Kluyveromyces lactis: one gene and its partner. The protein of the gene in region 1 interacts with the protein of each later gene in a biochemical or structural test. Links are inferred from orthologs where the notes say so. Each region holds a gene or a part of one and is shown in the gene's direction. Other genes may lie near its edges. The genes, in order: PAB1 and SUP35.

What was found.
Region 2: the proteins of PAB1 (region 1) and SUP35 form a complex in vitro, tested with the Saccharomyces cerevisiae proteins (3 studies listed by BioGRID). The link is inferred for Kluyveromyces lactis from reciprocal best matches to the Saccharomyces cerevisiae genes PAB1 and SUP35.

The regions. Positions count from the first base shown.
Region 1 is NC_006039.1:1,551,808-1,555,897, forward strand, and holds PAB1 (polyadenylate-binding protein), read left to right. Parts: upstream 1-1,514; coding exon 1,515-3,293; downstream 3,294-4,090. Other genes in the region: chromatin-remodeling ATPase CHD1, read left to right, coding at 1-660; E2 ubiquitin-conjugating protein UBC13, read left to right, coding at 4,066-4,090. UniProt on the Saccharomyces cerevisiae protein: Binds the poly(A) tail of mRNA. Appears to be an important mediator of the multiple roles of the poly(A) tail in mRNA biogenesis, stability and translation.
Region 2 is NC_006040.1:1,486,416-1,490,602, reverse strand, and holds SUP35 (translation termination factor GTPase eRF3), read left to right. Parts: upstream 1-1,545; coding exon 1,546-3,648; downstream 3,649-4,187. Other genes in the region: heat shock protein HSP42, read left to right, coding at 1-1,123; ARG82 (inositol polyphosphate multikinase), read right to left, coding at 3,700-4,187. UniProt on the Saccharomyces cerevisiae protein: GTPase component of the eRF1-eRF3-GTP ternary complex, a ternary complex that mediates translation termination in response to the termination codons UAA, UAG and UGA.

The DNA.
Region 1 (4,090 bases):
AGAGACGAAGCTAAGGGTCCCCAAACTGATCCATCTCACCCTGCCGGCTCTTCGTCAACCGGAACCACGACGCCTCAGCAAAACAAACGTAAACCAAAGAAGTCTGCTACTACTGCTGGGAACAGCAATGGGAACGAAAATGCCCATACCGCTGGTACCCCAAGTGACGGCAATAGTGTTAACTTAACCGGCAAGGACTCTACACCAGACAATAGCTCCGAAACAAAGCGTGGCAAGGCCCATCACCATCAACAACCATCATCAAGATCTGGTACGCCTGTCGTCGGATCGAAAAAACAGCAGAGGAAAGGTAAAGACATACCGTTGGCACCAAAAGCCGATATCCGTCTTCCTGACAAAGAATACGACAGTATGGACGAAGAAGAGTGTAAGAAAACGATGACAAACGTCCGTAGCTCACTCAAACGTCTAAGATCTGGAGGAGACGGTCTTGAACGTAAGCAATGGGCTAACCTATTGAAGAAGGAATTGAAACGTGTTGGTGACTACATCGAATCGCACAAGAAGGACTCGTCTAAGACCTCTCCAGAAAAATATAAAAGACATTTATGGTCTTTCACTGCATATTACTGGCCAAGAGATGTCCCATCTTCCAAACTCCTGGCGATGTACGACAAAATCAAAGCCTCTGAACATTAATTAGTCAAATGTAACAAAACATAGAGATATATACGCCTATCAATTTACGAAAAAAAAAAAGATATCTAATCAACAACATATTGCTATTAGTTATTATTACCTTCATAAATGACATGAGGCACAAGGGCGCACCAGAAACAGCCGGCTGCTAGTAAAATACCTGGTTTGTTGTGGTGATGCCTCAGATCATTTCGCACGTACCTACCTTTCCTTTTGTGGAAAAGCTTTAAACTCTTTTTCAACTCTTTAAATTTTTCAATGAAAATTTTCACTTTTTGGCTAACTCATCACAACAATTAAGGACTGTTCTCACAGAGATGGATGAATTATATAACGATTTTAAATAAGTTCTTGTGATGTTGTTTCATTTATTTAATTTGTTATAAGTTTTTAGTTATCTTGGTTAGTTTATACTGTTTCGTTTGTTACTTATTTGTATTACCTTTCTGGTTCAGTTATTGTAACATTTTATTTTGTGCAATTTGTTTGTTTAAAAAGACCACGGTCAAAGTCAGCAAACTCTCTAAAGGTATCATCTGTATCCTGTATTTTAATTGTTTTTGGTAAAAGAAAAGAATAAGCGTGGTTTATATCTTTTTAATATTAGTCAAAACATTCCAGTTAGAAGTCTTTTTGAATTCAAGTTAACTAAGGGTTTTTCATTTCCATCCATCGTTAAATCAAAACTTAATAGTTTCATCAAAGGTTCGCAACTGTGTGGGTATTAAACAAAACAATACACTAAAATACACATTAAAAAACCATAAAAAAACATATATTTTAAAAACACATTACAAAACCAACCAACCGCCATCTTTTTCGGTTAAATTTATCTCATCTCATCTCATCTCATAATGTCTGATATTACTGAAAAAACTGCTGAGCAATTGGAAAACTTGCAGATCAACGATGATCAGCAACCAGCTCAATCTGCCAGTGCTCCATCCACTTCTGCTTCTGAAAGCGAAGCTTCTTCTGTTTCTAAGGTTGAAAACAACAACGCTTCATTGTACGTTGGTGAATTGGATCCAAACATTACTGAAGCATTGTTGTACGATGTGTTTTCACCATTGGGTCCAATTTCCTCGATCCGTGTTTGTCGTGATGCCGTCACCAAGGCTTCGTTAGGTTACGCTTACGTTAACTATACTGATTACGAAGCTGGTAAGAAAGCTATTCAAGAATTGAACTATGCTGAAATCAACGGTAGACCATGTAGAATTATGTGGTCCGAACGTGACCCAGCTATCAGAAAGAAGGGTTCTGGTAACATTTTCATCAAGAACTTGCACCCAGCCATTGACAACAAGGCTTTGCATGAAACTTTCTCCACTTTCGGTGAAGTCTTGTCTTGTAAAGTTGCTTTAGATGAGAATGGAAACTCTAGAGGCTTCGGTTTCGTTCATTTCAAGGAAGAATCCGATGCTAAGGATGCTATTGAAGCCGTCAACGGTATGTTGATGAACGGTTTGGAAGTTTACGTTGCCATGCACGTTCCAAAGAAGGACCGTATCTCCAAGTTGGAAGAAGCCAAGGCTAACTTCACCAACATTTACGTCAAGAACATTGACGTTGAAACCACTGACGAAGAGTTCGAACAGTTGTTCTCCCAATACGGTGAAATTGTCTCTGCTGCTTTGGAAAAGGATGCTGAGGGTAAGCCAAAGGGTTTCGGTTTCGTTAACTTTGTTGACCACAACGCCGCTGCCAAGGCCGTTGAAGAGTTGAACGGTAAGGAATTCAAGTCTCAAGCTTTGTACGTTGGCAGAGCTCAAAAGAAGTACGAACGTGCTGAAGAATTGAAGAAACAATACGAACAATACCGTTTGGAAAAATTGGCTAAGTTCCAAGGTGTTAACTTGTTCATCAAGAACTTGGACGATTCCATCGATGACGAAAAATTGAAGGAAGAATTCGCCCCATACGGTACCATCACCTCTGCTAGAGTCATGAGAGACCAAGAGGGTAACTCTAAGGGTTTCGGTTTCGTTTGTTTCTCTTCTCCAGAAGAAGCTACCAAGGCTATGACCGAAAAGAACCAACAAATTGTTGCCGGTAAGCCATTGTACGTTGCCATTGCTCAAAGAAAGGATGTCAGAAGATCCCAATTGGCTCAACAAATTCAAGCCAGAAACCAAATCAGATTCCAACAACAGCAACAACAACAAGCTGCTGCCGCTGCTGCTGGTATGCCAGGCCAATACATGCCACAAATGTTCTATGGTGTTATGGCCCCAAGAGGTTTCCCAGGTCCAAACCCAGGTATGAACGGCCCAATGGGTGCCGGTATTCCAAAGAACGGTATGGTCCCACCACCACAACAATTTGCTGGTAGACCAAACGGTCCAATGTACCAAGGTATGCCACCTCAAAACCAATTCCCAAGACACCAACAACAACACTACATCCAACAACAAAAGCAAAGACAAGCCTTGGGTGAACAATTGTACAAGAAGGTCAGTGCCAAGATTGACGACGAAAACGCCGCTGGTAAGATCACCGGTATGATCTTGGATCTACCACCACAGCAAGTCATCCAATTGTTGGACAACGACGAACAATTTGAACAGCAATTCCAAGAAGCCTTAGCTGCTTACGAAAACTTCAAGAAGGAACAAGAAGCTCAAGCTTAAACTTGATTTTTTGACCTTGATCTTCATCTTGTCCTTTCTATATCTTTCCCCCGAAGAAAAAGAAAAATTAAAAAAAAAAACGAACAGCTAACTATATGAATAGTCTCAGCTTCACGCATTGGAACTGGGTGGTGCTAATTAGCTTACGCATTGTTATAGACCTAAACTAGTCGAAATAAACTACTTTCTGCCACTCTTCTTTTTCTCTCGCTTTTTTTTTTTTTGTTCATCACAGGCTTTCCATTGTTGCCAAAAATGTTGTGCTTTTAATCTTTACCAATAAAAAAAATTACCACGCTCCACATATACCATATTACCACAATCCATCACATCACTCTACCCTTTCTCCATACCGCTAATTCAATCCGGAGGTATGCCCCATTTTTCTCTTCAAATTTTTTCTTACTGATTTTTTCTATCTAACTATTATTGTTACTCTACCCGTTTTATATAATACTAAAGCTCTAATGGGAGGACATTAGTAGTCTTTTTAATGAAGAGGTTTTTCGCATTTTCAAAAGGTTTTTTTATCAGTCTTTATATACCTTTCTCTGACAGTCATCAACATGGACGGTATACTGTCCTGTGATGATGATGATGATGATGATGAAGTATCACGTGACTTCGCATTGTCTTTTTCGATATCGAATAGTTTCATATTAAAGGTCTTGAAGGCATTTAAGGCACTAAAAGCTTTAACCCTTTTTAAAATCAGGATCTATTCCTGATTTTCTACGGCGGATCGAGTACCGATCACCCAGTTCAAAGTACAATGGCAGCATTACCCAAGAGAATTA
Region 2 (4,187 bases), on another chromosome or scaffold:
CGCCAGAGGTGATTATGAAGATAATATCTACGGTGGAAGACAACCTCAAAGAAGAGCTGCTAATCAAGGGTATGACAGATACGACCCTTTTGCCGCTAGAAGACAGGGCTACGTTCCTGGCAGCTATTACTATTCAGTTCCAAACGCATCCTACTACCAGCCAGTTTATTACACAAATGAAGATGCTCAACCTCAGAGAAGACCCACGCATTACCATCCACACCGTACTGTTCGCAGGACCGGTGCTCCAACAACAGCTTCTAGAAGGGCTGTTGGACCAACATCTGGTGATGATGTAGTTGGGGCTCTTTTGAGTGCTTTGGCCGGTGGTAATTCCGACATTTTCAGAGGGGATGCTGATGAAGAAAGTCAGAGACAAGCAACTGATGATGAACAAGAAAACGATGAACAGGAGCAAGCCGCTGCTCTTGCGGCAGCCGAAGAAGCTCTTGCAAATCAATATTCCGAGGAAGAAAAAGAACGTAATGATCAGCAAATAGACGAGGAAACAGCAGAGCAAGGAGAAGACGCTTCTGACGAGTACAACGAAGATTATAACATGCACAATAATGAGGAACAACAAAAGTTGAATAAGACTACTTCCTCCGTTGACAGCGAAAAGGACGTAAACCAAAAGGATAAACTAGCTTACGAGCCCAGCGGTTTCAGATCTCCGGTTCCTGCACCTTTGCAAGTTTCAAACCCAGAATTGAGACTTGATCTACCATTTTCTCCAGAAGTTAACGTTTATGATACTCCCGAACAGTACGTTGTTGTATTGGCATTACCTGGTGCGAACTCGAAGGAGTTTAAAATTGATTTCCATCCTTCATCGCACGAGTTACTGATCAAAGGTGCTGTCGACAACAAGATCGGGATTGATAAAAAGTACGTGAAGATCTCAGAATTGAAATACGGTGATTTTGAAAGATCTGTCAAGTTCCCCGTTTTACCGAGAATTAAAGATGAAGAGATTAAAGCATCGTACTTTAACGGATTGCTTCAAATCAAAGTCCCAAAAATTCCACAAGATGCTAATAAACCACAACCAAAGAAAAGAATTATAATAGAAGATGTACCAGATGAAGAACTTGTGTTTGAGACTGCTCCTCGCAATTTATGAAATCATCCCTGGCTTCACATTGGAAAACTGGTTCAGCCAAACATTTATATGAACAATTGTTATGAATTAAAATAAGATCTCATGTTTAGTAATCGCTTATGTATAATATTAATATTACACGAATACCAGCACCCTCATTTTATACAGTTACATAGAGGAAGAACGGAACGGTTGCACCAGGTTATTGATGCCATATTACGTATTGGGCGCTACAATGGTGTTAGTCTATTTAGGAATATATGCAGTCGTATAAAATTACATCATCGCTAATTGCAAAAAATTTTAAACAGCTTGATAGAGAAGATCGAAAAGTGTAAGAAAGCGTTACTGATGATCATCATGATCCTCCCATCAGCGAATTGCCCTCTATTTGCAAGCTTAAATTGGAACAAGGTACCGGTCTATAGCATCTACTAGTAGACATGTCAGACCAACAAAATCAAGACCAAGGGCAAGGCCAAGGTTACAATCAGTATAACCAATATGGCCAGTACAACCAGTACTACAACCAACAGGGCTATCAAGGCTACAACGGCCAACAAGGTGCTCCTCAAGGCTACCAAGCATATCAAGCTTATGGACAGCAGCCTCAAGGAGCCTACCAGGGCTACAACCCTCAACAAGCTCAAGGCTACCAACCTTACCAGGGCTACAATGCTCAGCAACAAGGTTACAACGCTCAGCAAGGCGGTCACAACAATAACTACAATAAAAATTATAATAATAAAAACAGTTACAATAACTATAATAAGCAGGGTTATCAAGGTGCTCAAGGATATAATGCACAACAGCCAACCGGTTACGCTGCTCCAGCACAGTCTTCATCCCAGGGTATGACTTTGAAAGATTTCCAAAACCAACAAGGCAGTACTAATGCAGCCAAGCCAAAGCCTAAGTTAAAGTTGGCCTCTAGCTCTGGTATTAAGTTAGTAGGTGCCAAGAAACCTGTAGCACCCAAAACTGAGAAAACTGATGAATCCAAGGAAGCAACTAAAACTACCGACGACAACGAAGAAGCACAATCTGAATTGCCCAAAATTGATGATTTGAAAATCTCAGAGGCTGAAAAACCAAAAACTAAGGAGAATACCCCATCTGCTGATGATACTTCCTCAGAGAAGACTACCAGCGCTAAGGCAGACACATCTACAGGAGGAGCGAACTCCGTGGATGCTCTAATCAAGGAACAAGAAGATGAGGTTGACGAAGAAGTCGTTAAAGATATGTTTGGTGGTAAGGATCATGTTTCCATCATTTTCATGGGTCACGTCGATGCTGGTAAGTCAACAATGGGTGGTAACTTGTTATATCTGACTGGTTCTGTGGATAAAAGAACCGTTGAGAAATATGAGAGAGAGGCTAAAGAGGCTGGTAGACAAGGTTGGTATTTATCATGGGTGATGGATACCAACAAAGAAGAAAGAAACGACGGTAAAACCATTGAAGTGGGTAGAGCGTACTTTGAAACTGAAAAGAGACGTTACACTATTTTGGATGCTCCCGGTCACAAAATGTATGTTTCTGAAATGATTGGTGGTGCATCTCAAGCCGATATTGGTATTTTGGTTATTTCTGCTAGAAAGGGTGAATATGAAACTGGTTTCGAAAAGGGTGGTCAAACTCGTGAGCACGCTTTATTAGCCAAGACACAAGGTGTCAACAAAATGATTGTAGTTATCAACAAGATGGATGATCCAACTGTGGGATGGGATAAGGAAAGATATGATCACTGTGTTGGTAACTTGACAAACTTTTTGAAGGCTGTGGGTTACAATGTTAAGGAGGACGTCATTTTCATGCCAGTGTCTGGTTACACAGGTGCAGGTTTGAAGGAACGTGTCGATCCTAAGGACTGTCCATGGTATACTGGTCCATCTTTATTAGAATATCTTGACAATATGAAGACTACTGATCGTCATATCAATGCTCCATTCATGCTTCCAATTGCTTCTAAGATGAAGGACATGGGTACTGTTGTGGAAGGTAAAATCGAATCTGGACACATTAGAAAGGGTAACCAAACTTTACTAATGCCTAACAGGACCTCTGTTGAAATTCTGACCATTTATAACGAAACTGAAAGCGAAGTTGACATGGCTGTTTGTGGTGAGCAGGTTAGATTAAGAATTAAAGGTGTCGAAGAAGAAGAAATTTCTGCTGGTTTCGTTCTAACCTCTCCAAAAAACCCAGTTAAGAATGTAACGAGATTTGTGGCTCAAATTGCTATTGTCGAATTGAAATCGATCATGTCTGCTGGTTTCTCGTGCGTTATGCATATTCATACAGCTATCGAAGAAGTCACCGTCACAAGATTGCTTCACAAGCTTGAGAAGGGGTCAAACAGAAAATCAAAGAAGCCTCCAGCATTTGCTAAAAAGGGTATGAAGATCATTGCCGTTATCGAGACTAATGAACCGGTATGTGTTGAAACATACGATGATTACCCACAATTGGGTAGATTCACTTTAAGAGATCAAGGTACCACCATTGCTATCGGTAAGATTGTGAAAATCCTTGAAAATTGATCTCGGTTTTTATGAATCCATATCACAATGCATATTTACTAGGTGTCTAGTCTAGATTGTATATTTAGTTTTTAATCTTTCAAAAATGTCTATAAGACTTTCAACCCCGTCAAGTACATTGTCATCTATTCCTAATCCTGGGGTAAATTTGGTATGTGCAAAATCTATTATCGACATGCGACTCAATTCTGTCTTTCCTGATATGCTCTCCTTTGACTGTCCATCTTTAATGGACCCTTCCTCATCCGAATCATATGATACATGGGACGGTATTAATTCTTGTTCCTGAGAGAAGTTGATCCACCGAGTAGTATCGCATTCATATATGAATAGAAGGCTACTTGATATCATGCGAACCTCTTCATTCAATAGCGTATTATAGAAAAGCTGAAGCCTTTTTGAAAACATGTGAATCAAATCATTACGATTTTGGAGTGAAAGATTATTATCGCCAAAGTACAAATCAAATGCGTCCGTTACATTCGAAGCTGTCAACTCACGACCGTAATATTTATTGACAAAAATATACCCATCATCTT